Mus musculus: one gene and its partners. The protein of the gene in region 1 interacts with the protein of each later gene in a biochemical or structural test. Links are inferred from orthologs where the notes say so. Each region holds a gene or a part of one and is shown in the gene's direction. Other genes may lie near its edges. The genes, in order: Xpo1, Ranbp3, Adar and Ranbp1.

Region 1 (7,464 bases):
AAGAAAGTTAAAAAGAGTTGTGCTTTTTTTGGCTCAGGCCAAAAAACTGTGAGACCCAGGCAAACTTCATGGTGACTTGTGACTTGGAGGGACTGCCTCTTCTTTTCTTTCTTTTTCTTCCTTCCTTCCTCCCTCCCTCCCTCCCCCTCTCTTTTTTTCTCTTGTTCTTTCATTCTTTTTTTTTTTAAGACAGGCTCTTCTAGCCGGGCGTGGTGGAGGCAGAGGTTTTCTCTGTGTAGCCCTAGCTGTCCTGGAACTCTCTCTGTAGACCAGGCAGGCCTCGAACTCAGAAATCCACCTGCCTCTGCCTCCCGAGTGCTGGGATTAAAGGCATGCACCACCACACCTGGCCAGTACTGGAATTTTTTATCAGTCTTTGCACATAAAGTTTCTTTTCAGGAGTTTTCATTCACAGTTGGGATCACAGATGCACACCACCAGTGCCTGGCTGGAAATGTTCTTTTGATTTATTTTAAAGGAAACGTTCTTTGATTTGTTTTGAGACAGAGTCTCAGGGTTGTTCAAATACTGTCTCACTGGGGTAGGACTATCCTGTATCTAGAAATACTGAAGAGATGAAGAGTGGTTGCTTCCACCTGCGATCAGCTCTCAAGAGAGAGGGAAGACAGTGGACCAGCTAGGTATGTGCAGCAAATTCTAGGCCAGCAAGAGTTATGGTTGCATGTACCTTAAATCCCAGCATTCAGGAGGCAAAGGCAGGCACATCTCTGTAAGTACAAGGCCAGCCTGGTCTACACAGCCAGTTCTATGACATACAGATCTACATAGAGAGACCTTGTCTCAAAAACAACAGAAAGCTCTGGGCAAGTGTCTTAGTTTGGATTTTATTGCTGTGAAGAGACACCACGACCATGGCAACTCTTATAAAAGCAAGCATTTAATTGGGGATGGCTTATAGTTTCAAAAGTTTAGTCCAGTATCAGCATGACAAGAAGCATGGCAGAGTGCTTGCTGGCATACATGGTTCGGGAGGAGCTGAGAGATCTGCAAGCATCAGAAAGACTGTGTGCCACACTGGGCATAGCTTGAGCTTAGGAGACCTCAAAGCCTGCTTCCACAGTGACACAGTTCCTCCAACAAGGGCATACCCATTTCAACAAGGCCATTCCTTCTAATTGTTCCTATGGGACAAGCATTCTATGAATATGTTGGAGCCATACCTATTCAAACCACCACAGCAAGCCATAGCTAAAGGCATGAACCACCACACTTGGAAAAATACGATTTGTTTGTTTGTTTTTAAGACAGGGTCTGTTTGGCTTGGAACTCTCTATGTAGACCAGGCTGGCCTTTGACTCACAGAGATCTGCCTGCCTCTGCCTCCCCAGTCTTTCTACTAAGGGTGTGTCCCACTGTGCCAAGCCACAAAGGCTATTTTTCAGAAAGGCATCCATATACCTGTAATTCCAGTCAGCACTAGAGACAAACAGAGGAAAATTTGAATTTAAGGTCAGCCTGCAATTTATTTAGTCACAGGATACAGTGGCACTAGGGAGGCGGAGGCAGGATGGTCTCTGCCAGTTCTAAGCCAACAAGGGCTATACACCAAGTCACTGTCTCAAAAAAAGAAAAAGGAACCGATGGATTAACTCAACAAGGTGCTCTCATTTCCTCACTGGAGCTGTGCCAAGCAGCCCCTGACCCAAACAAACAAACAAAATAAATTCCTCACGAGATTATAAAGAATTAAATAGAACATTGCACATAAGGTCTTCCATACCCATTGAATTCAGGTATTCGACTTAGTTTATTTACATTTCCATATCTCTATCCTTGGGGGTAGGATTGTTTTTAACTGTTGAAGGTAATGAAAATGTATAAGCAGTGTCAGATCTGTGTTCCGAATATTTGTTTTTGTGTATAGGGATAGCATCTTCTGCCTCCAGCTGACACTGAATTTATTCTGTAGCTGAGGATGGCCTTGCATTCCTATTCTTCCTGTCACTTCTTCCCAAGTGCTGGGAGTTCAGGCCTGTGCAATATGCCAGGTCAACTGTGTTGACTTAATAAATGTTGTGGCACAACAGACCAGTCGATTTTGGTGGACTGCTGGCTGTTTTTCCCCCAGATAGGGTTCTCTTTGTAGTTCTGGCTGTCCTGGAGCTTGCTCTGTAGTCCAGGCTTGTTTGAATTCAAGAGATCTGCCTGCCTCTGCCTCTGTCACCACCACCCAACTGCTGGTTGTTTTAAGCAACCCTAATCAGCAAAACTGACCTGGCACTTGGGAGCCATGGGTTAACCTAGGGGCGTGGCATAATAAGGGCACGCACCAAGTTAAAAGAAGTTGGCACAAAATCTGTCTATACGCATTGTTAAGTTAGCAACAGGATTTTCAATGTGTTAGGACTAATTTTTAGAAATAACTTCTTGTTGAAGCAGTCTGGGGAGAGTTAATTTTTTGTTGTTGTTTTTTTTCGAGACAGGGTTTCTCTGTGTAGCCCTGGCTGTCCTCGAGCTCACTCTGTAGACCAGGCTGGCCTCGAACTCAGAAATCCCTGTCTCTGCCTTCCAAGTGCTGGGATTAAGGGCATGCGCCACCTCTGCCCGGTAGAGAGTTAAATTTTTAAGGAGGCTCGTCCAATAACTAACTAGACAACCGTTTCCAGGCGCCCAAACTGCACGCCCGTTTATGCCAACCTCGGCCCGTGCTATTCACGTTCCCATGCGGTGCCCAAACCCAGGCCTCTACAACGGATCCAAGGCCCAGGGCCTACCATCCGGCACCTATGTGTTCTTTTCGGTCCTTCGCGGCCGTCTATTTCCATGTAGAAACAGGGTGTGCCCTCCCTTTTCCGAGCACAGACCCCATCCTAAGGGCGGATGCTGGGGCCCCAGGACGAGGCCCCTGAGGTTGGCGGGAGCTCGAGGGGGCGGGCCGCCAGGGAACGGGGAGGGGGGGAAAGCAGAAAGACGAGCAACGCGCGCGGCGCTCAAACCCGCGCTGCCTTCTGCTCACGGGCGAACCCCACCCTCTCCGTCACCAAAGGCGCCCAGCCAATGGGCGAGCCGGAAAGGCCGGGCTTACAAGCGAGGGACCGAGAGGGGGAGCCACTCGAGGGGAAAGGGATGTAGAAGGCGGGCTGCACTTGACTGACAGCTCACTCAAGCCAATCCTCTGTGAGGCTTCTCCGCTCTCCTCTTTGCTGGGCTCTGTTCGACGTCCCACCTTCTCTTCCTCCACCCCCCCCTCACTCCTTTGCGTCCCGCCCCGCCTCCCCTCCCCCACTCTGCGGGCAAATCACTGCTGGAAAGAGGCGGGGGCCTAAGCGGCAGGCTCGTGTGGAGCCTTGAGGTGGGATTGACGGGCGCTCCGACCAATAAGAGGTAGGCTGATGGCGCGGCTGTGGCCGGGGCCGACCAATGGGCGCGCGGCCTGGGGGCGGAGGCCCAGGTTCCAAACGCTCCGCGGCGCCATGGGCTGAAAACTCAACCGAGATGGAATCTCCCAGTCTGAACCGGTTTCAACCGGTTCCGAGTTTGAGGCACTAGGAGGAGGGGGAGAAGCGGCTGCAGCGGCCGCGGCAGGAGCAGCGGGAGCTTCAGCATCAGCAAGAGCAACAGTAGCTACAGCCCCGGCGGCCGTGCCTGTTCCAGCCTTTGCTGCAGCAGTCGTGCAACCATCCCGAGGGGGAGGGGGGAGGCACCAGTCGCTGAGGAGCACGCGAAGGGGGGAAAGTTTAGGCTAGCTCGGGTGGGGGGGCCCGGCGCCGGAGCGGCGTGAGCGAGGGAGCCCTGTGTGGTAGGGGGAGCCGGACTGCAACTGGCGGCAGAGCGGCCCCGGCCGTACGGACTCGCGCTGCTGCTCCCGCCGCCGCCTGTGGCTGGAGGGTCCTGGGCTCTGTCTCACGGACTGGCCCGCTCCCCTCCCCCTTCCTTCCCTCCCCAGCCGGGCGGGAGCATTTATTTCTCGGATTAATTCCCCTTTTTGGTGGGGCGCGTGTGTGTGCGTGCGCGCGTGTGTGTGCGTGAGTGTGTGTTGGGTGGAGTTGTCCCTAGAATAGTAAATACTGAGCTTTTTTTTTTTTTTTTGCCCTTCTCTGCTTTTTAATTTCTTTTTTGTTTAAGGTGGGAAAACTGTGAAACCCACCTTGATTTCCTCCCCTCTCCCTCCTCCCCACCTTCCCTCGCCCCAAGCCCGGACAAGGAAGGAAGAAGCAGTTGGTTGAATTTCTGGGTAAGTCGGTCGTGTGCTCGGGGCCGAGGGTCGGGCGGCGGCGGCGCGGCGGGCATGAGGCGAGGCGGGCGGCGGGCGCGGGGCCCTCGGCGGAGCCTGAGATTGAATGGAAGCGCTTCTGTCGCTCGGTGATGGAGGTGGGGAGGCGGCCGCGGGAGGGGAGCGCTTGCTGGGTCATCTTCGTGTGCGGGTGGCGGTGGAGGAAGGCGAGGAGCGTGGTAGTGAGGCTGAGCCCCTGCGCGTGGGTGGAAGGGCTTCCCCAGTCCAAAGGGCTGGGGAGAGTCGGGGGTGATTTCGGGAACGTCTCTGTAAATTATTAGGAGTGGAAGTTTCCAGAAATATTTAGTGCAGCAGCATTGAAACGTCCGCCTGCATCACGTGGCCCCCTCGGTGGAGAGCTTGGGATGGGGGAGGGAGGGGCTACCGAGTCCCTTCTTATGTGAAGAAACTCGAAAGCCTTGTGGGTGATTTTTGTTGTTGTTGGTTTTGTGAGTGTGTGTATAACAAGAAGTAGGAAAGAGGAGTTAATTTCTTTTTTTCGGGGGCCTGCAGTTGGGGTTCCGTGTTGTAGGTTGTTTTCGCCCGGGGCATATATGTCTTGGTGAAACCGTGTACTGCTGGCCGTGGACAGTGAATGATGCCCTCCCTGCTCCTCCTTCTGGTTTCTTGAGTTTGCGGTGTAGGAGAGGAAGTGGTGGTAGAGGATGCACTGAATACTCGCCGAGGCGGGACCTCGGATCACTCAGAGGACATGCTGCATAGAGAATAGGGCGGTGAACTTAGGCGCCGGGTCTAAATGCCTCCTCCGAGTATGGGCGGGGTGAGTGCGTGCTCCTGTGAGCTATAGTTAGAAGTGCTGAGAGTCGTTCGGGTGGGAAGCCAGGGGAGGGCGGTCCCTTCCTAGTGAGGCGTGTGTTTCTTACTGAATGAAGCAGGCGATTGCCCACACACGGAGTAGCAGTCTTTTGTAGCATCTTGTTTTTTGACTCATTGTGAACTTACCTTTTTAGATGGCTACTGGTGGGTAGTGTTTTGCTGCTTGCAGTGCCATTGAAGGTATATGGACAATCACTTGTAGAGTCACAGCATTGTTTGATGGGTTCCTACAGTTCACAATCCAGTGAGTGGAATTTGGGATTGGGGGACACCAACGAGACAGGTGAACCAATCAGAAAGTGAACAATCCCTCCATAGCTGCACTACTTACTGCATGATTCTGTATCTTGAATGTGGGTGTCACGGCTGACGGTGGAATGACTATTTGGAAGCTGTTTGGTTGGGGCTGCTAAATGTGCTTGGCATTGACCACAGAGCCGCCATTTCTGGATTACCTATAGTTGAAGTTGGAAGATAACCGCTAGTTCCGAGAAAGGCCAACAACTGTATTTAAGTATTCTTAGATTGCACCCCTTCCCCCACATGAGTCTAGTATCTGAATTCTTAGAGAAGACCAACTTGAAAATGAAACTTAGGACTTAAGTGTAGGGTCATTTGACTAAACATTTAATCATTACTTTTTTTTTTAAAGAACTATAAATTGAGATAGTGTCTGAGACAAGTTGGTTGCAATTTTTAACCATAAACTCGAAAAATCTGTTTTAATCTGTAAAAGTTATGACACTTGAAGTTATTGGAAAGAATAGTTATTTGTTAGTGGGATTTATTTTTCTTGTATATTAGTGTTCTGTTTTTCCCTTCTTAAGACAGACAGAGTCTCACTGTGTATTCCAGTCTGTGCTTCCATCTCTTCTGGGATTGCATATGTCTTATCTCTTAACACTGGCCTTGGTGTTAATTGTCCTTTCACCTCCCAGGTGCTTTCTTTAATTTTTAATATATAATTTATTTTTACTTTTAGTTTATGTTTTGTTGGTGTTTTGCCTGCATGTATGTCTTTGTGGAGGTGTCAGAAAACCAGAAACCAGAGTTACAGATCAATGTGGGTGCTGGGAATTGAACCAGGGTCCTTTGGAAGCACAGCCACTGAGCTATCTCTCCAGCCCAGTTTGTTTGTTTCTTTTCTTTTTCTTTTTCTTTTTCTTTTTCTTTTTCTTTTTCTTTTTCTTTTCTTTTCTTTTCTTTTCTTTCTTCTTTTTCCGAGACAGGGTTTCTCTGTATAGCCCTGGCTGGCCTGGAACTCAAATCTGTAGACTCAGAAATGCACCTGCCTCTGCCTTCCAAGTGCTGGAATTAAAGGCCTGGGCCACCACTGCCGGGCTCCAGCCCAGTTTCTTTATCTTTACATGAGTGTAAATGTGAGCATATCTACCTATGAAAGAATTTTTGGACTCGTGAGGAGTTTGAGTGGGGAGCACAGATAGGTCTTACTCTGTTGCCTTTGTCTTTTAACAGTAGTATGCCGGGCGGTGGTGGTGCATGCCTTTAACCTGAGTTCCAGAACAGCCAGGTCTATACAGAGAAACCCTGTCTTGAAAAACCAAAAAACAACAAAAACCCCCCAGCCTTGGCCTGATTGTTAGTTACTTCAGATAGGGCTTCATAGCTCAGGCTGGTCTTAAACTCTGTATGTAGATGAGGCTTGGTCTTGGTTTTCTGATTTGAGTGTCAAGAGCGCTGGGGTTCCAGATGCACACTTCTGGTTTGAAACCAAGGAGTTCATGCATAGTAGAGCACTTCACTGACTGAGCCAAACCTAATCTTTGATTTATTATAACTAAGTTTTATCTTGGGCATGATTAATAAAACCTTTGTATTGAAGTATCAGCAGCACTACTACAGAAATACAGCGGAGAAACTACTTGTCCTAGCTGTGTTTTGAGCCAGGTTTCACTGAAAGGCTGAGGTGTTTTTTATTCAGGATCTCTGCAGTCCAAGGTATCCTGGAATTCACACTTCTGCCTTCACCTCCTAGGTGGTGGGATATAGGACTAGACCACCAAGGCCCACTTTGTACAGGTTTCAAACTGTTATTTTAAGAAAAGGATGGTACAGAATGGCTCAGCAGTTAAGAATTCCTGCTGCTCTTGGTGAGGACCTAGTCTCCATTCTGGGTGGCTCATAATCTCTGCGACTCCAGCTCAGTGGGATTCCACCTTGCTCAGGCCTATACAGGCACCTGCACTCTGGCACACAGAGCCACACACAAACCCAGTAAAGTGTAAATTCTTTTTTTTTTTTTTTAAAGATTTATTTATTATTATATGTAAATACACTGTAGCTGTCTTCAGACACACCAGAAGAGGGAGTCAGATCTTGTTAGGGATGGTTGTGAGCCACCATGTGGTTGCTGGGATTTGAACTCTGGACCT
Region 2 (6,969 bases), on another chromosome or scaffold:
AGAGAAACCCCGCCTTAAAAAAAAAGCAACAACAAAAACAGAAGCCTGGTTGCAGTCAGGTGAGGAGACACACATCTGTCATCTCAGTGCTTGGGAGGTGGAGGCAGGAAGATCAGGAGTTCAGTGTCACTTTCAGCTATACATTGAGCCTGAGGAAGAAACCTGGCTCTACTTGTCATCTTCTTGCCATGCCATCCTGGCCAGCTGTGTTCTTGCCCAGTGCTCAGTCACACCAGCTACTGCTCTGGGAGCTTTGTCAGCCTCAGGCCAACTGGGCTCAGTCTCTAGTGTATTCCCAATTAAGCAGGGAGCTCCCCCTCACCTAGTCATTCCCCTTCTGCCCCATCTGTGGCATGTACCCAACCAGCCAGCTATAGGAGGGTGAAGCCTGGGTTCCCCCGGTCCTGAGCAATGTAACCTCTACTGTTAGCAAAGTGAGTCTTTACAAGACCTGAGAAGAGCCCAGGGTGTATGTCTCTATGGGTGGGGCTGGGAACAGAACTCTAAGCCTTGGCTGCCCACTTAGTGTCAACAGGGAGGCTTGCCTTCTGTCTGTCCCATGTGGTCACAGCAGTGCCCTGCTGGATTCCTGCATGCCAACACAATGGCCAGGCTCTGGGCCCCACACTGGTGCAGGTGAGTGGCTACAGTCCCTGTGGTCAGCTGTGTTGTCCTCAAGTCTTTGGGGTTTGGAGACAGGGTTTCTCTGTGGAGCCCTGGCTGTCTTAGAACTTACTTTGCAGACCAGGCTGGCTTCAAACTCACAGAGATTTACCTGCCTCTGCCTCTCAAGTGCTGGGATTAAAGGCGTGTGCCACCACCACCTGGCTTACCCTCAAGTCTTAAAAGGTTGTGTGAACAGGACCCTAAAGACCTATAACCAAGGGGTGCCTAAAGCCAGCCTTTGGGTCCTCTAGTTATACAGTTTATGAACTTGATCTCAGGTTTGAAAAGTGTGGTCCAGCATTGCCCCCCCTGAAGGCCTCTATCCCACTCCATAGCTGGCTCCAGTGGCTGCTTTGTCACTTGTCTAGGCCTTGTGTGGCTAGTGGACTTAGCTCTTTATTCCCAGGGTTTGAGTGCTGCTCTGACTAGGTGTCCTCCAAGGTGTCCCCTGGGCTTTCAAGTGTGACCAGTTTCCTATCAGAGCCCATGTGACAAGATGCTGGAGTGGCATCAGTGTGTCCAGTATCAAGCTGTCACCTACAAATAAACTTCATCCCTGTGAGCAGTCCTTCTTCAGCCTCCTCCATCCTCAGCTATGGGTGTCATGAATCTGCCTCCTGCCTCCACTTGTGGATATTTCCTATCCATGGGCCCTGCACCATAGCAGCTTTTCTTCACTTAAGACTCTGCCTTTTGTATGTGTGGATGTGCATGTATTGTGGGGTGCTAGCGTGCTCACCTGTGCATGTGCATTTGGCGACCAGAGGTCATTGCCAATACTCATCACTCTGTCTGCCTTCCTGAGGCGGGGTCTCATTGATTTGGCTGGCCCTGCAGGCCAAAGAGCTCCAGGACATTCCTGTTTCTGCCCATAAATACCCAGCTCTAGGACTGAGCTGTGCTGTGTACTGGGGACGGGACTCAGGCACTTTTTTGTTTGTTTGTTTTTTCGAGACAGGGTTTCTGTGTGTAGCCCTGGCTGTCCTGGAACTCACTTTGTACTCCAGGCTGGCCTCGAACTCAGAAATCTGCCTGCCTCTGCCTCCTGAGCGCTGGGATTAAAGGTGTGTGCCACCATGCCCGACTTGGGACTCAGGCACTTATGCTTGCACAGTAGACATTGTGCCTACCGAGCCAGTCTCTCAGCTCTGTGTTTGGGGGTTGTCTGCTGTTGGCCTCTGTCCATGGGTTTTATTCTTTGCTTCCTTCAGGAGGGTTGTGCATATGGGGATGGGGTTAACATCTGTCTGCTTGATGGATGAGCCTCCGAGTCTGCCTGTGGCCTGTGCATTTTTTTCATACCTTCCTCCTGTCCTGGGTCACATTAGACTAGCTGTCCATCACCAGGACAAGGTCACCAGGATGCAGACTCACTGGGTTCCCAGCTGTCCCTGCAGCTCCAGCTCTATCTCCTAGCTCTTGTGAGTGGCTGGCAGAGCTGGCACTGAGTAACAGGCATGTCTGGGAGGCAGGTCCTGCCCTAGTCCTGTGGTCATGAGCGTACATGTCCTCTGTTGTAGGCCTACCCAGTAGTGCCATCACTCACCTTCCTGGGAGGAGTGGCCCAGAGTCTAGCAGATATGTCATTCTGTCTCAGCATCTTCATCCTCCAGGTTCCCTGTGCTGGCCTTGCCACAGAACCATATTCTAACATGGACCTCCTACTTTTCTGTTGTAGCCTGGACCATTCTCTGGGGTCCCAGGCCTACCATGCACCCTGTTTCGCTGTGCTCCTGCCTCCACAGGCTGAGCTCAGCTGTGTCTTATCCTTGCAGAAGAGAAGAGCAGCGGCTTCCGGCTGAAGCCCCCAACACTCATCCACGGTCAGGCACCCAGTGCAGGTGGGTGACATTTGCAGGCCTCTGCCTGGCTCCAGGACCCTTGCTGTAGGCCCAGTCTGCTCCTGGGACTGGGACTGACATGGAGGCAGCCCTGGGAAGTTGCTCTGACCTATGGGAGCAGGGTATCTCCTTCCTGGGAACTCATGTGACCCTGTACCAGCCCTGGCCATTTTCCTTTGCACCGTGCAAACTGTGGGAGGCACAGTGCAAAGGAAGACCTGGACCTTGTCACAGGTCTCAATGGCAGGTGTCTGTCACTATAAAGTGTTGGTGTTAAGTGTGGCCTCCCTTGCACAACCATAGAAGTTGATGTGCCCTGGAGCAGCAGGGTCAAGGTTCCTAGAATCCACTGTGTTCCAGGTCTGCCCAGCCAGAAACCCAGGGAACAGCAGCGTGGTGTGCTCCGTCCAGCTGTGCTGCAGGCCCCTCAGCCCAAGGTGCTGTCGCAGACGGGTAAGGGACTGAGACACAGTTTGAAGTACAGAGGCAAGAGGACCCTTTGGGTTAGTCCCATCCTGAGGGGAACCTCAATAGGGTACTGCCAAGGTTTTCTGTGTCCCCAGGTCTCTTGTCAACCTCCTAAGCTGCTCTGCAAGGGTTTCCAGCTTTGCTGGGTTTTGGTCTTGTTACTCAAAACTCAGAAGTAACCTAGCCACTTTGGACCTGGTTAATCTCCTGCTGATTAATCACCCAAAGTCTGCTTGGGTCCATTGCTCAGAGTCCACCGGATAGAGCCATAGTATAGACCCTTAAAAGATTCCTGTTTCATTTCATCTTGATTTGGGGGTAAGTAGGATGGACCTGGCATGTAGGGCAGTTGTCATTTTGTCCTGGTTTAGTTGGATTTTTGTGACTCAGTATCACCCTGTGCAGCCAGCCCAGGCTCCTTTTGAACTCACTTTGTATTCCTTCTCACAGGATAGTGGGCACACACCACTATTCCAGCTTCCTTCTGGCTTTGTGATTGTATGAGGTGCTGGGGTTGGATGCTGACCCCACACACACAGGCCGGGCTCTCCTTCAGTTGCATGGAGCAATCTGTGATAGATTTCCTTTTACTGCTCGTTTTCTGGGAGTCCTGCTTCTGAGCTCACTAGAAGCCAGTTCTTGTTCATGTCTTGTGTGTGTTCGTGTGTGTGTGCGCGTGCGTGTAGTCCTGAGGATGCATCCCTGGCCCTGAGCATCCTAAGCTATATGCTAATACAGTGTCTTTTAGAATAAAGGCAGCAGCTCTTCATGTCTGTGAGTTTTGAGCCTACTTTTGTTTTTAATTTAAGAATATATGACTTTTTCTTCCTCCCTTTCTTTCTCTTTGTTTCTTTGTTTCTCTCTCTCTCTTCCCTCCTTCCTTCCTTCCTTCCTTCCTTCCTTCCTTCCTTCCTTCCTTCCTCCCTTCCTCCCTCCCTCCCTCCCTCCCTCCCTCCCTCCCTCCCTCCTTCCTTCCTTCCTTCCTCTTTTCCTTTCTTAAATATAGCCCTAGGTGACCTAGAATTTGCTGTCTAGATCTGTCTTTCCTCTGACTCATAGTGATCCACCTGCCTCTGCCTCCAAATGTTGAGATTAAAAGCTCTCATCACTATACACAGCCCAGGATGAATGAACTTCAGAGTCTAGCAGCTTAGTTAGCTGCTGAAGGGCTGGGAGACACCTGTCCACTCTCTTTCCTTTTTGCAGTTCCCAGCAGTGGCACCAATGGAGTCAGTATGCCAGCAGACTGCACGGGGCCAGCAACGTCTGTATCACCAGAAAACCTCACGCAGAGGAGTCCCTCTGAGTCTGCCGAGGAGACACACACACTCGAGGTTGGTCGGTCATGGGGACAGCCAGGGTGGCTGGGCTGCAGTGCCAGGCTCTGGTGTGCTGTCTGTGTGGGTTCTTGGTCTCTAAAGGCCTATAGCAGTTCCCAGCACTCTTAGTTTGGGCAGCTTCTTAGGCTGCCTGCTCTTATACAAGGTTGTTCCCAGTCTAGTCCTCTTTCCAGGAAGGGCGTTTGCAGAGACACAAGATTTACTGGCTCATAGTTTTAGAAGTTGGAAACATGAGCAGCATGGCTATGGCTCTCCTGCCCCTAGCTGATTACAGCCCACTTCACTTGGGAGTGCTCGTGACATGAGCAGTCTTGGAAAGGATAGCAGAGCGTCAAGGACAGTGCCCCTGTAACTTACTCACTTCCACACGATCCTGTCAAAGGTCCTCCCCACACCACACCAGGGACTGAGAGCCTAGCCAGTGGACACCTGGCATTGGTTGATAGGCTGTCAGTCACTGTCAGGATGGTCCCACTCCCAGAGAGCTCCTGAACAACTTTTGTTACTATGTCTCCATGACAAGGTCCAGAGCTCCCCCACAGCGTCCCAGATGAACCCTCAGAATGACTGGTGCTGTGGCAGTCAGCCCTGAAAAGCTGGCGTAAGAGAGAAGAGGTGCCTGTGCAGACCCAGGATTAAGGCTAGGGGCAGTGCCAGCAGCAGCTAGATGAGGGCTGTGATGGTGACCCGCTTCCCAGGCTGGCCACTGTGTAGAGTCACAGGCATAATGATGTCTCTGATCTCACTGAGAAAATGTCTATCCCACCTCAGTGCCCTAAGTGGGGGTAGGAATAGCTCCCAGTTAGGTACGGATTCCAGCCAGGCTATGCTGGCATCTAGCTCCACCACGCAGGGTCTACTTGTGTCACCCTCTTGCAGTTTCCACACTCCCTCCACAGTGCAACTCCTTCAGCTTAGGACGTTCTGCTCCACCTTACTAGCAGGCTGGGTTCTTAGTATCCAGCTTTGATTTGACTCTGAATTCTCTCTCTGTGCCACCCCAGATTTGAGCCCAAAGTTGCACATTCCAGATGTAAGCCTCACTCCCAAGCTGTCTTGGAGTGGACAGGGTCACCAAACTCACTATTTCTGATCACGTAGAAAGAGCAGGCAAGGCCAGGCGTGGTGGTGCACACCTTTAATCCCAGCACTTGGGAGGCAGAGGCAGGTGGATTTCTGAGTTCAAGGCCAGCCTGGTCTACAAAGTGAGTTCCAGGACAGCCAGGGCTACACAGAGAAACCCTGTCTCAAAAAAAAAAAAAAAAAAAAAGGAAAGAGCAGGCAAGACCCCGACTTTATCAGCCATTCCTGATTCACAGTGCCAACACCACACAGCTGATCAGTGGTGCTGAGCTCAGTGAAGACAGAGTGGTATTGTGGCTAGGAGACGATCACCTGGGCCATGAGAGAGTCAGAATGGAGCCAGATTTGTAAGGTATCAAGCAACTAGAAACATTTAAATTCTTAACAGCCTAGCAGAGAACTCAGAACTGTCTCACCACCCTGCCGTACACTGCAAGTTGCTGTCATAGACCTGTTGGAGCTCTTCTACACCACCGTCCATGTGCAGCTAGAGTATTGGACTCAAGTTCTCTTTATCCAGGTCACATGAGTGATCAAGACCTTTTACTCAGAGGAGTCACACTTGTAAGAAGAAAGCATTTAGAAGGGCCAGTGAGGGCTCGGTGAATTAAAAATGCTTCCTTCCAAATCTGAGGACGTAGGTTGGATCCCTGGGATTCACATGGTGATTCCTTCAAACTGGTCCAGGGGATTGTTCTTGGTTTTCTATACATGCACACATAGGCATGTACACACATAAATGTAAGCTTGTGTAAAACAAAAAACATACTGAAGCTGTGAGGTGGAAGTGAGAATGGCCTGGGACGTTAGGCTCCCTGCTGTCATCTCTGCAGTGGGATCTCACATCTGTGACCCACGTCCCACCATTTCCTCTAGTGACTCATCTGATCTGCTACTTGGTGTCTGCCATTTACTGTTTATAGTTTACATCCTGAGTGTTTATCCCCTTGCCTGATGGATCCTTGGTACTGGTTCTAGGTCTGTTGGCACCAAGGTGTGGTGATGTGCCCTGTTGACTCTGACATGCAGAGTCTTCCTGCCTGAGCTGTAGGTCCCCACGAATGGGCCCTTGGAGGAGTCTTCTGAGTACTGGCTGTGATACTCACAGTCTACCTCATTTCCACCTGGGGCTTCTCTGCACCACAAGCGAGTTTGCCTCTCAGAGGGATGCCCTGGGGTCCTGAGCTCTCCACAGGCCCCCTTGCTATCCAGCTGGAAACATCCTTTCCCTCAGCTCTACTGAAGCAGGGGAGTGCTGGTGTTGGCCAGTTTAAACTTCAGGCCGAGCATCATCCCCTCTCTCAGATCCCGGAGCCCGCAGCACAGATCTGGGGTTTAGGCCTTTCTCTAATGGTGCCTACTCCAAGAGAGTTATCCTAGCTTCCAGGAAAGTGTGAGCTTGGCTGACTTCCAGGCTCCTGAGCACTCCATTGTCTTGTTGGTAAATATTGGTTTGTTTGTTTGTTTTTCCTTATAGGAGAAGGTGCCTCAGAAAACCCCACATGGCACCTCAGAGGAGGGGCACTGTGAAGAGGAGCAGGCGGCCCCACAGGCCTTTGTGTTTGGACAGA
Region 3 (7,602 bases), on another chromosome or scaffold:
TGTGAACTTGTCAATGGTGAAAAAGTGACATTTTAAACCAAGTTAAAATGCCTGGTATGGTGGCACACACCTGTAATCCCAGCACTTAGGATGCTGAGACTGGAGGATCTTGAGCAACAAGGTGGAATTCTGTTTCCAAGAAAATAAAGACTAGAGGAGTTAGGAAAGGCAGAGCCCCTGCAGGGAAGGCTATGGAACTATGTAGTCAGCCAGCAGGGGCTCTGAAAGGCCCTGTAGTGTTGCTGGCCCCTCCCCAACCCAGGTTCCTCCTCAATCTCTGCTCTAGGACAGTAAGAGACAGCATCATGGTACCATTAAATTCTGTTAGGAAGATGGAATAAAAACTACTCAATTAAGAACAGGGAGAAACAGGCAGAGCACGAAGATCTCTTGAGTTTGAGGCCAGCTTGGTCTACAGAGTGGGTTCTAGGACAGCCCATGCTACACAGAGAAACTGTCTTCAAAAAAAAAAAAAAAGAAACCAAAACAACAACAACAAAAAACAAGGAGAAAAAGTAAATTCCATATATTGGCTATTTTATGAATTGTCCATCTGGCAAATTGGCTGTTAGTGAAATCCACCTGTTTTCCAAGAAATGCTGCAGCACTCAGGGCCCAGTCTGTTGTTGCTGACCCCATACAACACTTACTCCACAAGCTAAAGATGGGGCCATTGTCTTGCAGGAGCTAGGACTGAGCAGAGCTCAGGCTGGGACTGGGGGAGAAGAGGAAGGAAAAACAGTGGATGAGAATCCCTTACCTTGAGTCCTAACTCAGAGGGGCCCAGATGTGGGCCAATAGCTGAGTCTCTACTGGCCAGAGCCACCCCAGCAGCTGACCAAGTACTACTCACAGGACTGAGCTTGCATAGGACAAACAGCTTGAGTACCAGACAGGATTTAATACATAGAGCCATAGGGTTTAGAGAGTTATTTTGTGGGCTGCCCATGAAGCTAAATGTGCGTGATGTGCACTCGGAATGGTCTATACAGGACTGTTAGCTGTTGTTCTGACAGTTGTTTTGGCATTGTCGTTAATATTATAACTTTATTATGTAACCACTAACCTTACTGGCATACACGTCTTTTCCTTTCATTTACTGGAGAACTCTGACTCAGTAATAAAAGGATGTCCCTTCTTCTGGAGACCTCTTTTTTGGGGGGAAGGGGGACAGCTACCCAAAACAGTTCTTGCTTTCTAGTAATTTCAAAATTAGAAGCCCTTGGAAGGGAGAGACAGAATTATAAGGGCTCAGAGTCAGTCAGCCTTAGCTGTATATTGGAGGAGTTTTAGGTGACCCTGAACTGTATGAGACCCTGTCTCAAAAACAAAACAAAACCAAAAGCTGGTTGTGGCTATCAACATCTGTAGAACATCTCTCAGGGTCGGTATAGCTAGGTGATACATCATTCTTTTGTCTCCTGAAAGCCTCCCAGATTATTTGAGCAAGTTAGACTGCTGGGGAAGGCCCTGTGAGTTTAGAAAATGAATGTTTCGGGGCTGGAGAGATGGCTCAGTGGTTAAGAGCACTGACTGCTCTTTCAGAGATCTTGAGTTCAATTCCCACCAACTACATGGTGGCTCACAACATCTGTAATGGAATCTGGTGCCCTCTTCTGGGGTGTCTGAAGATAGCTACAGTGTATTCCTATACATAAAATAAATAAATCTTCCTGGCCTGCAAGCGCCAAGGGGGAGGTTGTGATACCTTATTTTAGACACAACTGAGTTAGTTATTTGGGTGGTGACTAAGGAGTAGCCCTCTGAATTGGAACCTGGCAGGAGGCTCCCAAGCTCCTAGGGAAGTAAGCTGCTTGTGACAGGACTGTCACCTGTTTGTTCCCAAGGCCCTCCAGTTGAGGGGAAAACCTGGAAAAGGTAAACAGCCCCAGGTTGCAGTGGAGGTGCCACCTAGTGAGGCTGGGAGAGTTAGGACAGTTATCAAGGGAGCGAGACAAAGTTTAGGAATGAGACTGTCTGCGGGTCCTCAGTGGATCATTAGCCCCCAGAACATTCCTTCCATTTAGAATGCCTTGGACTTGAACCTGTCTTGTGCAATACATGATTGACCTTGGTTTTGCTTGGTTTGGGACAGGAGGTCTTCTTTCAGTATTGTTACATTGTTTCCCATCTGCTGCATTTGGCTGTGGTTTTTACTTCAATTGCTGTGTAATATCCTAAGGTGGGAACATCTGCTTATTTTAGTTTGATTGCTTTCAGTGTTGTGTAGCTTATCCTGCTAAATGCATATAATGGTTAAACCATGGGGTGTGTTTCTAAGTAATGACTTCCTGCAGTGACTGGGGTTGCTCCTTCTTGGTCCTCCTATGTGCTAGTTAATGGTGCCACACTGGTGAGTGGACAAGAACACCTACTCACTGTGACCTTTCCTGAGTTTCCCTGATGGCACAAGATTGAGCTCTTTTCCTGTGTTGATTGCCATTTTTTATCCCCCCCCCCCCAAGTTTCTGTTCCGCAAATTGTTTTACTTAGAGTGCACTATTATCCACTCACCTATGACTGTCTGGGACTCACTGTGCAGGGGATATAGGCGAGAACAGCCCTGCCCACTGGAGTGCCCCCGGGAGCACTGAAGGCAGGCAGCTATACCAAACAGGGAGGACATGATTGGGAGTGACTTTTGAGCCATCCATCTTGCCCAGACTGCTACATGCTGGGGCTTCTACTTACACTGTGTGTGCTGCTGGGTGCTGACGTTGTAGCATACACTAGATGCCCAGACTGCCATATGCTGGCCTACTTGCACCATGTGCTGGGTGCTGACACTGGTACAAACGCATCAGGTACCCAGGGATATGGAAGTGGAATTCCTCTGAAGTCTCAAAAACAAAACAAGGAAAGGGGGAGGAACATTCTAGGCTAAAGAACAGAATACGTGAAGGTAAAGAATTTTATCTACAAAAAGATAGGAAGTTTGGAGCAGCCAACAGGGGGAATGAAGGACAGGCTAGTGGGGACAGGGCATTGGCCAATGGTCACTCTAGGAGTGGACAGACTTGTAAATCTCGCAAGCAGTAGGGATTAAACACGGAAAAGGAACTTCCTCACAGGGCGGAGAGGGCGCTGTTGAGTGAAGCTTTCCAAAATACCGTGAACAAAAATAAGCTTGTCAGTGAAGTAAATAGCTCCCAAGCTCTCAGAGAACGTATATAGTGCCCTGCTAGTGGAGGTGGAGTGGTGAGGAAGGCGGTGGGCGTGGACTACGGCGGCCCAGCCCTTATGGTGGGCAGGATGCTGCTGCTCGGCTACCGGGAGCAAACCCCTCCCTCCTCTTGGCCCAACAGTTGGGCGGGGAAGCCTTTTCAAGGAAACGAAAGTGAACTCTGGGGAGCCAGCCATCTTACGGCCACAGGTGCGGGCCTTGCCGGCACTATGTCTCAAGGGTTCAGGGGACCCACAGGTAAGCCCGCGGGGTCTGCACCCTCATATCTGGCTCGCGTAGTGTGAATTACGAGGGTCACGTTCTCCTTCTCAAGCCGAACTGCCAGCCCTTCTGGGGATTTCTGTTCAGTTAGTTCTTGTAGCTTTGAGCAGTCTCAGGAAGGAGGCTGGTCAGAAGATAGACCAGCGTCTAAGCCAGACAAGGACCCAGGCCGGGGCAGACACCCCTTCTCTTTCTGCTAAGACCCCTGATGCCTTGCTGAGCCGCTATAGCCCAACATGAGCAACTTTTCTCATGATCCTCTTTGCTTTTTCAACTTCCTGAGAAATTTAAATTATCTCAACTAACCAGCAGGGGGAAGTCTTTTGCTTTATGGCCAAGAAGGGTGTCTTTCTGTAGCGCACTGGGTAAGCTTCGTGGAATTCTACTTAGCACTAAAATGAACTTGTGATGTCGTACATGAGCCCCAGCTGCAACGTTCTGAACAGAAAAACCCAGATTCCGAGGATTCATGCTGTGCACAGCACTGGATCTGTCATTCTGGAAAGCAGCGGGGATGGAAACTGACCCTGTGGTGGGATTAGGACTGTTCCTTGCCTTGGTTTGACCATGCTGGTTTGTTTGCTTTTGAGGCAGTTTCTACTTGTCTTGTGTTGCCTTGATTGCCCTTGAGCAAGCCACCAGTCTTTTCTCCCTAGAGCTGGAATTGCAGGCATGTCCCACCCAGGTTTATCCTTCAAAATTTTAAAAAGCTATATGGGATGTACCAATAGCCTCACACTTGATAAGCAAATGCTCTACTACTGTGTGTGTGTGTGTGTGTGTGTGTGTGTGTTGTAATTTGGGGGGTATGATGGTACTCATGAGGCAGAGGCAGGTATTTCTGAGTCCCAGGCCAGCCAAAGCTGTGTAGATGGCCTCAAAAACACAAACCAAAAAAACCCTACTCCAACAACCAACTTTTAATGTTGCAGATGTACAGGCACACTTGTACTTCTTTCTACGACAAAGGACAGCCTCGGAACTGGGCCCTCAGGCTTCCAGGAATTTTTCTTCTTGGTCCCCTATACCCTCAAGTGTCTCACAATTACTGATTTTTATACCACACTGTGTTTTGTTTTGTTTTTCTTGGGTTCTGGAGATTCAGATTCAGGTCCTTAAGATTGTGTGGCAAACGCTTTACTCACTGAGTCATCTCCCCAGCTCTTAATGGTGTGTGTGTGTGTGTGTGTGTGTGTGTGTGTGTGTCTACCTTCCCTCAAAATATTGCAGGCATCTGACTTGAAGGAAAGCACTTTTTACATATACTACAGTATGCACCTATGGATCATAGATGGTAAAGACAAAGGACTTATCTGTTGGTCCTAGAGATGGAAGGCAGGATTAGAATGGTGTTTGAAGAGCCATGTTTGATATTATATGTTAGGATGGTAAGATTGCCAGTCACGACAGAAGGCTGTGGCCCAGCTCCTGTAGCCTTCAGGCGAGTCAGGAAGGCTGTGAGCCACGTCAGAGATAGCACTACATGTTCTGTTTCCTTCTCTGGTCCTACCTCCCCGAAATAACTGAGTAAATTCCTTAGTTTCATTTCTTCTGTGCCTATTCTAGTGTTTGTGCATATATGAACTCACTCTCTCTCTCTCTCTCTCTCTCTCTCTCTCTCTCCCTTCTCTTCCCCCCCCCCCCAAACCAGGTTTTTTCTTTTCAACAGAAGAAAGCTTAACTTACATGTACTCTACCATTTACACTTTTCACATATACAAATTTTTTGTAGTAAAAATGCAAATGTATCCAACACAGATGTTCAGAAATTGTGACTAATGTTCCACAGTGTGAGGCTGTTATAACTTATTCAACTACTTTGTAGCTACGCACATATATTTCCCAGATTTTGTCTGAAAATAGCCATTTAAATCAAGAATGTAGTTAGGGCTGGAGAGATGGCTCAGCAGATAAGAACAGTGGCTACTATTGTGTCACATTGTCCAGTTCTGGGGGGAGGTAGGGTCTCTGCCTTCTGTGGACACCAGACACACATGTGGTGGACAGACATAAATGCAGGCAAAGCACCTATACACATAAAAATAAAATAAGTGTAAGAAAAGTAATTTATCTAGAAACTGACTTTAACCTTGAAATGAAAATGTCTTCTTTCTAAGTTCACTCAAAAAACTAATTGGATCTCCTACAGCCCCCATTGTTGAGCTATGTGATTGGGCTACTCATGTCAAGCACCATGACACCTCTGTCCCAAGCCCTGTGGGATGGGCGCAGAAAGAAGACCAGGGATGGTCTTGTCTGTATGGGCTTTGGTTCTGAATATGCTGCCCATCGTTATCTAGCCACTACTAGAAAATGCTCTCCACCTACCAGAAAAGAGTTTCAGGGTTTGATGGATACAAACATGTTATATAATAGTGATATAGGTAGGGTCACTAGACAAAGACATCATGTAGCTGAAAGGTGAAGATTGTGGTCACATGGGAATTGAGGAGCCCAGGGTTAGGTACCACAAAAGTGATTAGGACAGTAAGATTCCCAGTCATGACTGATGGGAAACAGAAGGCGGTGGCCCAGCTCTTGTAGCCTTCAGGAGAGTCAGGAAGGCTGTGAGGCACGTCAGAGACAGCACCTCATGTACTGCCCTCCACCCCATGACCTCTGTCACCACTGCTCCCCATCAGGCTGTTCATGGCAAGGTGTCCTTAGAGGCTGCCTCTGGCAGTTCCTGGGGAAGGTAAGAGGACCACTGGTAGTGGTGATGAGACCCTGCCTGTCTCCATATCCAGGTGAGCCTGGGTGCCAACTGAAGAGGGAGGACCACATGACATTTTTAGATGGCAACTCTCTAGAGTCCCTGTACCCAAATTTTGGTCCGTCAGGGTTGTGACTGACAGGTAACTCACTGAGGCCCTCTTACCACATGGAGATGGCTCCTGCTGTTACACTCCTCCCTCAGCTGGGAGGAGGTGAACTTCCGTCTCATCCAGCCTTAAGTTCTGCTTGTCAAGATTATCCACATGACAGAGTTTTAGACTAAAGGGGCTGTACTATGTAGTGGAGAGCCTGACTCACTCAGAGGGCTGATCTCACACACCCCACGTCCTGTCTTTTTCCTCACTTTCAGTATTGTGTTTGTTTCTTGAATATCATTTGCTTATTTTTCTAGATTTACACTTGTTTGTTTATGGGGTGTAATGGTGCATATACCATCCTGCACATGCCGTGATCAGCAGAAGGTCATTCTCTTCCATCACATGTATGTCCAAAGCACCAAGTCAGTGACAAGTGCCCTTGCCCACTTTTTAGCTGTGTTTTCCAGTTTTAGGAGGGTAGTTAGAGGGGTAAGTGGAAAGGTATTCTGTTGGGAGCCAACTCTCAGCAGAAATCAGCTATCATCTCTGCAGCCATCTCGGGCTATTTACTTACAGGTGGTACTTGTCCACCCTGACGAGAGACTTGTTTTCCTAGCATGATGTTTTTGCAAGAAGCCCACCACAGTTGAACACACTCAGATAACATCTTGTTTTTCTCCTATACATCCTGGACCTGTGGTTAAGTGTCTCCAGCTAGTACATATATACCCATAGCTGCCTTCCAATAAACGAGACTTGAGACTTTGATACTTGATCCTTGATCAGATAACCTGTCTTGTCTCCATTCTTCGAGTCTCTTGCCCCTCAGTCCCCACTTTCTCTCTTGCAGACCCTGTTGACTGACCCACGGACCAGATCAGTGTTCTCCCCCCCACACCAACCTCCTAATATCCCGTTGCAAGAGTTAAGTTGGAGGTCTCATTGAGGCATCTGAAATTGTGTCTTGCAACCTCCTCCCTCTCTCTGTTCTCTCATGAGCTTCCAAGCAGTAGCCAGTAGTGAACTAAAGTCACCTTAGTTCGGCCACAGCTCAGCTACCCCACCTGCTAGGAAGCAGGGATAGCTTCCCTAAGCACAAACTCTAGGGAACATAGGCTCATATGTAGCTCTGACTCAAGCTCTGTCTTCCATGTTGCCTTCTACAGGGGTGTTCCCTCACCAGACACAGTCGTACTTGGACCCTAGTCATGAGCATAGCAAGTGGAGATACCCGCAGCCACAGGGGCCGGAGTCTTACCCTAGGAGTTTCCAGCTTCAGCAGATAGAGTTTCTCAAAGGGCGGCTCCCAGAAGCACCCTTGATTGGAATACAAACCCAGTCACT
Region 4 (7,677 bases), on another chromosome or scaffold:
GTGATTGATCCTGTTCTGGGTTCCACAGAGTGCAATAAGGCTGTGCATTTCACTGGCTAACTGCAAAGAGGCCAATCACTAGCAAATATCCCTTGTTATCATATACCTTATTCTGGGGCCCCCAGTACCTGAGTGTGTTCTATAAATCTTTGATGCTAGTTACTGGCTTCCCTCCCTCTGTGTTTATGCTCACAAGGGGTATGCTACCTGGAAGAATGCATGAGGGGAGATGCGGAAGGTCAGCCCTAGCAGGTCTTCCTGAATGCACTGGTCGCCAGCCATATGCTCCAGGGGCAGGCCTTCCTGGCTGGGAGTCTTTCTATACAAGAGAAAACAAATCTGTCAGGGTCACTGGTCTGTCTGGCCCCTCCTGCCTCCACCTGGGCTCCTCACCTCTGTCCCTCCTCCACAAAGTAGAGGGAGGTCACCCCACTGGCCTTGCCTGGCCCCTCCATGAAGTGGCACACCAGGGAGGCCTTTAGTCCTGCCACCTCCTCAGAGCTCAGTTTCTGTAGTAGATGATATAAAACTCCCATCAGGCTATGCAAAAGCCAACCTATACCAGACACATCCCCCAACAGGACCACCACCTGAGACCTGGGGATGGAAGTAGGCAATGGCCATGGCCTGGCCTCGGCTGCTGGTACGAACAGTCAGTTGCTTCCAGTGGCCTGTATATGTCTCAGGGTCATATGCCGAGTATGGTGTGGAACTGAAGAAACCACAAATATACTCAGTGTGTGCCCATCTGTCCTGGTACCTTGTCCCCTTACCCCACATCCACAACTGCCAGTGCAGGGGCCACCCCCCTTGTCCCAGATGGATCAGGGACTTCCCAGAAGCCCAGCCCCAGGCAAGGTCCCCACCGGATGAATTCCTGGAAGGCCTTCACCACCTGCTTAGTGGCCTCTGGAATGTGCACAGTGTCAAAGGGAGCTGCCACAGCACATGTTCCACCCTTGTACTTGCCAAGCCGGCAGCCAACTGTGTTGTCCTTGCCGTCTACCCCAACTCCGACCAGGAATTCACATTTATTACGATATTCAGTCTGTAGGAGTGTAGTAAAGAGTCAGATCTCAACCTTGATTACCCAGCACTGGAAGAAGAAATACCATAGTGAACAAAAGACCCAGATTTGCCCAAGGGGTAACAGAACAAGATTTTACTGCTGGCTTATCAAACATTGGGAAGAAATGAAAAGCAAGAAAAATATCAAAGAGCATATGCATAATAAAATTGACATGAACAAGGGCCAGCCTCCCAAGCCCCCCCATCCCCATACACACAGAATGGGATTTCTCTGACCTGCTGGGGTGATGGCTTGACCCCCTCCAGGGGGCAACAAGCTTTATTGTGCTGTTGTCTCTGTAAAAGCAGCCAGGGTAGCAGGGCACGATTAGTGTTCCCAATTTCTCTGCAGGATGAAATACATCATGGTTGGATTTAACACTGTTCCCCATCCATACTGGGCAATTCATTTGCGACCTCACTATCCCTCTGTTGTGGGCCTTATGAGTTCTTTCGTTGACCACTTCAGACTGGTGGTTCTCAACCTTCCTAATGGTGCCTGTGATCCTGTAATCATGTTGTGATCCCCGACCATAACATTTTTTAATTTTGTAGTTGTAATCTGCTAATGTTGTGAATCATGATGTAAATGTGTTTTCTGATGGTCTTAGGCAACCCCTCTGAAAGTCTGGTGACCCACTGGTTCCCACCAATGGTACAGAACCATTGACATAAACTCTGTGTGTATCTTGAATTGCTTACATGGCTAATGGACCAGGCCAAGAGCAAAACCCAGCTCTGCTTGGGATGTCAGCACCACACTCACTTGGCCAGTTTCTGTAGCACCCGCTCACATTCCAGTCGCTTCTGCTCCAGCTGCTCAGTGTAGGGCACTGTCCACAGAGGGGTCACCACATCGGCAATTTGTGTTACTGATGGCTCACTATCACCTTCTTGCCGCCTCTTCCTAGCCATGGGGTCAGCCTTGGGTCGGGCCAGGCGTACGCTGAGCGGACAGCCTTTCCAGAGAGCACCGTGCAGCACTCGCAAGGCCTTGTCTCGTTCAGCAGCGCTTCGGAATGTTACAAAGGCACATGGTGGCTGTCCAAAGAGTTTGATTTTGTGGGACTGTAGACCAAAACGGCCTAGAAAACGCCGGACGTCACTGAAGCTGGCGTGGCGAGGTACATTTTGGAGCTCCAGTTTAAAGATTTCTGATGTGAACAAGTCATCCCTTATGTAGCTGTAGAGCCCAGGCTGCGTTCCAGGCCCTGCAGCTGGCCCAGGCCCTGCTTCCTCTTTTTGACATAGTGGGGCCGCAGAGCTGGGTACAGCACTGGCATCCTGGCCGCAGTCCTCCATGGGCTCCGGAACCTACGTGGGAACAGACGGGCCTGGCTGAAGGCTCTAATTGGTATGACTCGCTCCCCCAAACCGCTGACAGATCTCCATTAGTGCACACTCCACGAAGCCCTGGAGAAACCCGTTCTTTTACTCTCGAGACCCAATTCTCCCCCATCCTATCTTTGATCCGACAGTAATGACTGCTGCCCCAACCCACCTCCGCCCACCCCGTCCACATCTCCTGCACGTCTCCCTTTGCTTTACTTCCGCGGCCGGCTCACTCATCTCCTGGCTCGTCTGTTGCCCGGACCAGGGTGCTCACGAGGACCACCGGCTCGGCCTCCCACCCAACAAGGGCGCAGATACGAGGTACGCCGCCGTGAAGGTAGACCGCAGCTCCACACAGGGACTCAAAACTCGGGTGCTCAGAGCTGGGACTGAGGTTTGCGGATGCACTGTCCCCAAGGGCCACACGCTGCGCCTGCCTTCGGCTGGCCAGCGCACACTAGCTGCGTCTCCTCTCTCTAAGGGCTTGGTTCCGATGACGTCACCGCCGCGCGCCGAGTCCCGACTGATCCTTCCAGCAGCCGCTCACGCCAGCGTCGGAGGCACTCAGCCTGCAGGCGGAAGTGCGCGCGTGGGTCGCCGGGAGAGCGCGCTCCCCGGGCTGAGGCGCGGCCGGGCATGCGCCGCGGGCGTTTTGGCGGGAAGCGCGGGGCGGGCCGGACAATGAATGTCCGCTGTCGGAGCCAATAAAGCTACACTGGTTTTGAATCACTGCGCGTTTCCCGCCGCTGGGGTCAGGGGTCAGGGTTCGGGTCGGGGGGCGGAGGGAAGAGCGGACGGGCGGGAGCGCCGGCGCCAGACGCGGAGGAAAGGAGCTGCGACTAGCCGCCCAGAGGCCGCCGAGCCAGCGACGCCTGAGCTAGTCGAGCCACCGTCGCCGCGCCCCCATGGCGGCCGCCAAGGTACAGCGAGGCCCGGGTGGGGCAGGGCAGCCGGAGAGGCAAGGGCCGCTATGGGCGGCCACGTGGGCGGCCCGCGCCTCGGCCTCCAACCCTCGCTGGCTTGCGGGTTCGGGGCCTGTCGAGGCGCCTGGGCCTGGGGTGCTCGAGGTCTTTGGGGGTCCGCGAGTGGGAGCTGCTGGCCAAGACTCCGATCTCGGGGTCTACAGGGCGGCGCGTGACCTTGTGGTCTGCGGATGAACAGCCATGCCCAAACTGGGCTCCCGGCTTCACCTGGGGACCTGGAGGTGGCCGATCTCCTCCGTCGTGGCCCACTTGTGATCTTCCCATTAGGGGCGGCAATCCTCCTTCCAGTTGCACGCAGACCCCTTCATTCATTAGGACATTGCGCCTTCGGTGGGGAAAGCTCGCGTCCCAGCGCAGGGTACAGATATTAGACGCGCGGACTCTGGGCGGGGGCGGCTTTGTTGGTGGCTCGTGTGTCGGCCGCAGCTTAGCCGCAGTGCTGAGAAACCGAACGAAAGGTTTCTGTTTCTTTATCCTGTTGAGTTAGGTAGTGAGTCTGGGATTTCTCTATATTATCAAAGCACGTGATCTTGTCAGATTTAAACATGCATGTCCTTGTAATTCTCCAAGTTGAGTCAGAATCTTAGAGCTTATTTGTCATACTTTTCCTAGCTTCTTTCGGCTTAAAATTTCAAGCTTGGGTATTATTGCTGGAGGGATTGTAAACTAACAAGTGCTTGGATAACCCTCAGTAAAAACTGTTACGGCTGCTCTTCCTTTTGAGTATATCATGTTCTTTTTCATGGTGGGTATTTTTTTTTTTAACAGAAGAGGAAGTTTCTCCCAAGCTACTTTGCCAAGGACTTGGGTGTGTGTAACCCATTGATGTTTGAGTGTGTAGGAGTGTCAAAATACACAGTCTTGTTTCATGATATCCTGTGATTTTTTTTTTTTTTTTTGTGATGCTGGTTGTAAATACAATCAGATGATGTGAAAGATAAAACCAAAGGCTTAATTTCCAATTTGGGGAGGCATTTTCCAGATGCCATTTGTGATTGATGATGCCCATTGTGGACCGAGTCCACCAGCCAGCAACATCACTCTACCTTCTCTACACAGGACAGTCACGAGGACCATGATACTTCCACAGAGAATGCAGATGAGTCCAACCACGACCCCCAGTTCGAGCCAATAGTTTCTCTTCCCGAGCAAGAAATTAAAACGCTGGAGGAAGATGAAGAGGAACTTTTTAAGATGTAAGTCTGTTAAGGGGTCCTGGAAGTATCTTTAGATAGGCTGACTGAGACAGAGAGAAAAAAGAGTGGACAGGAAGCAGGTCTCTGCAGGCTATTTCTTTCACATTTTGCAGTACCCAGCAACCATAGTTGGACCACTTATGTTTACCTCTTCAATTTCTAGAGGAGCCAGCCAAGCTAGGAATTCTGTCCCTTGTATTGTTTCTCTTTCAGGTATAAGCCTTAGTGATATGTTCTGGCATAGCCTCTTTGTGATTTCTATCTGGAACTGCACAGAAGAATTCTAGGGTGGCTGGGCACACTGATTTCTGTGAATTTCATGGCTTGGACCCAGCTTGATAAAGGCTGTTTTAAGAAAGTGCTTGGAGATGTATGGTGACTAGTCTTACAATGAAAATTCAACCATTTCTCAGCCAAAAATGTTGCCAGGTTATCCTGCTGCCTTGTGGCCAGTCATGTGAAGGTTGTTCCCATCACTGTTCTGTGTCATCTGGGTGTCTCCAGCAGGCTGTGGGGGCTCACACTTTTAGTCTCAGCACTTGGGAGGCAGAAGCAGGTAGATTTCTGTGGATTGTAGATCAATCTGGTCTATATAACCAAGTTCCAGGACTACATGGTGAGACTTTTTTTGCTGGGTGGGGGCTCCCTTTCTTTGTTGAGCAGAGTCTTTGCTTTTCTTTGTTTTTGCTTTGCTGTCTGTTGCCTTAACTGTATCCTCAAAGATTGAGGTTTGTTTAGCCCTTGTTAATTGTTATGTGTGTATGGGCATTTTACCTACATTGATGTCTATCTACACAATGTACTAAAGGAAGCCAGAAGAAGGTAGTGAATCCCTTGGGACTAAAGTAACAAGTTGTGAGTATCCATTTGGACCTCTGGAAGAACAGCCAGTGCTCTTAACTGCAGAGCCAATTCTTCAGCTTCCAGCTCATGGTTTTTCAGGTTAGAAAGTATGAGATCTGAGAGTGTAGTGCTAGCAGTGGTATGGACCTCATTCTCATGTAAAATCAAGAGAATTTGCTAATGTCAAATTTTCAGTTATGCCTAAGATGTTTGTTAGAGGTTCTCTGCTCTGAAGGGAGGGAGGGAAGGAGGCTGCCCATGGAGAGCCATAAGTACACCCTTGTACTACCTAGAAGATGGTGGTCCAGAGCTCTGATCCACAACAGTGGGTGAGGGTAGCATCTCCCTGAGTTACGTGGTACTTGATTTTGTCCACTTGATGCTGAAAGTACCCCAGTGTCCTCGGTATTGTGCTAGAGACAGCATATTGTGCCTTTATATAAGGGCCTTTGAGCTTTCTCTTAAGGAGTTAAGTGAAGATGCAATCTCCCTGGACAAGACTGAATTTGGAGGAGAGCAGAGGCTTTGTAACAGCAAATGCGGGCTACAGAGGAGAAGGGTGCTGGCTTGGCAGGAGAGCCAGGTGTACTGGACTCATTGCAGGTACTGTGTACCTGAAACCTGGAGGCTATAGGTTCCTTCTGACAGGAAGCTGTTGCTGGGCCTCTGGAAGATAATATTCCTAAGGCTTTATGTAGTTACAGGGCATTCATTTAGTGTGAGTAGGTTGTCCAGACAGACCTGTGGCTTCTTTACCTACTGAGGGTCATGTGTATCCTTAGATGTGTCTCTGGGGGAAAATCCTTTGCTATGAATATCTTTCTGCAACCTGGTATTTGTTGGCCTATTGTGCTCCCCTGGGTTTTATTTTGCCTAGTAATTCTTGGTGCCCAAAGCCCATTGAAGAAGGTTTTTGGGGAAGACACAGTGTTCAACAGTTCCCTTATGTTCAGTGTCCAAAGAACACTTTGTGGCAATTGGTCCAGGTGTGAGTTCCCTCTCTGTTAGATGAAGAACACTTTGTGGCAATTAGTCCAGGTGTGAGTTCCCTCTCTGTTAGATGTTTCCATACTGGCTTCTCTTACAGGCGTGCAAAGCTGTTCCGGTTTGCTTCAGAGAATGACCTCCCAGAATGGAAGGAGCGAGGCACTGGAGATGTCAAGCTTCTGAAGCACAAGGAGAAAGGGACCATCCGCCTTCTTATGAGGAGGGACAAAACCTTGAAGATATGCGCCAACCACTATAGTAGGTGGCCTTTCAGTCTTTAGACCCTGCAAGTTTTAGGAGTTGGTTACTGGGGGGGGGGGGCATATATTTATGACACTTATTGTCTTTTTGTAACAAGTCTCTGAACTATGACAGTGAATTTAGGCTGTGGGCAAGATAGGTCCAGGGTAGATATAGACCTCCAGGCTAGACTTATGTTATCTGGGCAAGTTGGAGCTATCCCGTGCCAAAGCTGCCTTCTTTTTACTTTCTGTTATGTTCTCCTTCTAAGCTGTTTTCTGGGATGATATAGGAAGGAATCAGGCTGACAAGAAGGTAAATGAGGAGGGCTCTTGGCCAGGTGTGGTCTTATGTACCTAGAAAGAGGTCTCAAAGAGCCACCCCTCCCTATTTGTTTAGATCCATCTTGAGCTGTGTAAAAGTACATGGATTTACACCCTCCTTTAAAGGCCTTGAAATAATGCACTATAGCTGGGCAGTGTTGACATCTGTTCTAACAACTCAGTCACATGCCCTGTTACCTGCCATCAAGTCTCACCCTGGCTACTCCTGCTCCATTGTGTTCTTTTGGCAATTCCTCATCCACTGTCTCCACCCAGGACACCCTTACTGAGATCAGAAGTCCCACTTTAACTCTCTTCCTCAGCTATAGGCTGATCAACTCTTTATAACCAATCAGAAGTAAGGGAGAATAATTTTTATACATCATTGAGATGGGAGATGCTTCAGTAATCATGACAATACTAACACCAGACTGTAATCAGATCTCTGGGCACAGTGCACAAAACCATCCTCTACTCTTGATCCTGGTAGATTCTCTAATGCAAAAATCTACATTTTCTAAACTTGAAAAAAAATTTTTTTTCTTTCTTTTGGTGGGGATGGGGTCCATGTATAGACCAAAGAACAATTTTGTGGAATCTGTTCTTAACACTTTCACCTGAATTCTAGAATCATACTAGATTGCTGAGCTTACATAGCTAGTGAGGTATCTGTCCAGGGCAGGTATCTGTTCAAACTCTCATTTC

The links.
Region 2: the proteins of Xpo1 (region 1) and Ranbp3 form a complex in vitro, tested with the Homo sapiens proteins (2 studies listed by BioGRID). The link is inferred for Mus musculus from reciprocal best matches to the Homo sapiens genes XPO1 and RANBP3.
Region 3: the proteins of Xpo1 (region 1) and Adar form a complex in vitro, tested with the Homo sapiens proteins (2 studies listed by BioGRID, with this or other methods). The link is inferred for Mus musculus from reciprocal best matches to the Homo sapiens genes XPO1 and ADAR.
Region 4: the proteins of Xpo1 (region 1) and Ranbp1 form a complex in vitro, tested with the Homo sapiens proteins (3 studies listed by BioGRID, with this or other methods). The link is inferred for Mus musculus from reciprocal best matches to the Homo sapiens genes XPO1 and RANBP1.

The regions. Positions count from the first base shown.
Region 1 is NC_000077.6:23,252,523-23,259,986, forward strand, and holds the start of Xpo1 (exportin-1), read left to right. Parts: upstream 1-3,518; 5' UTR 3,519-3,638; exon of another isoform or gene 3,639-4,121; 5' UTR 4,122-4,195; intron 4,196-7,464. UniProt on the Homo sapiens protein: Mediates the nuclear export of cellular proteins (cargos) bearing a leucine-rich nuclear export signal (NES) and of RNAs.
Region 2 is NC_000083.6:56,698,582-56,705,550, forward strand, and holds part of Ranbp3 (ran-binding protein 3), read left to right. Parts: intron 1-526; exon of another isoform or gene 527-636; intron 637-2,441; coding exon 2,442-2,507; intron 2,508-2,867; coding exon 2,868-2,960; intron 2,961-4,181; coding exon 4,182-4,309; intron 4,310-6,875; coding exon 6,876-6,969. UniProt on the Homo sapiens protein: Acts as a cofactor for XPO1/CRM1-mediated nuclear export, perhaps as export complex scaffolding protein. Bound to XPO1/CRM1, stabilizes the XPO1/CRM1-cargo interaction. In the absence of Ran-bound GTP prevents binding of XPO1/CRM1 to the nuclear pore complex.
Region 3 is NC_000069.6:89,727,418-89,735,019, forward strand, and holds the start of Adar (double-stranded RNA-specific adenosine deaminase), read left to right. Parts: upstream 1-3,300; 5' UTR 3,301-3,393; coding exon 3,394-3,421; intron 3,422-7,424; coding exon 7,425-7,602. UniProt on the Homo sapiens protein: Catalyzes the hydrolytic deamination of adenosine to inosine in double-stranded RNA (dsRNA) referred to as A-to-I RNA editing.
Region 4 is NC_000082.6:18,244,191-18,251,867, reverse strand, and holds the start of Ranbp1 (ran-specific GTPase-activating protein), read left to right. Parts: upstream 1-3,173; 5' UTR 3,174-3,305; coding exon 3,306-3,320; intron 3,321-4,442; coding exon 4,443-4,579; intron 4,580-6,509; coding exon 6,510-6,667; intron 6,668-7,677. Other genes in the region: Trmt2a (tRNA (uracil-5-)-methyltransferase homolog A), read right to left, coding at 208-319, 394-509, 598-712, 867-1,048, 1,306-1,414, 1,835-2,382, 2,617-2,637. UniProt on the Homo sapiens protein: Plays a role in RAN-dependent nucleocytoplasmic transport. Alleviates the TNPO1-dependent inhibition of RAN GTPase activity and mediates the dissociation of RAN from proteins involved in transport into the nucleus.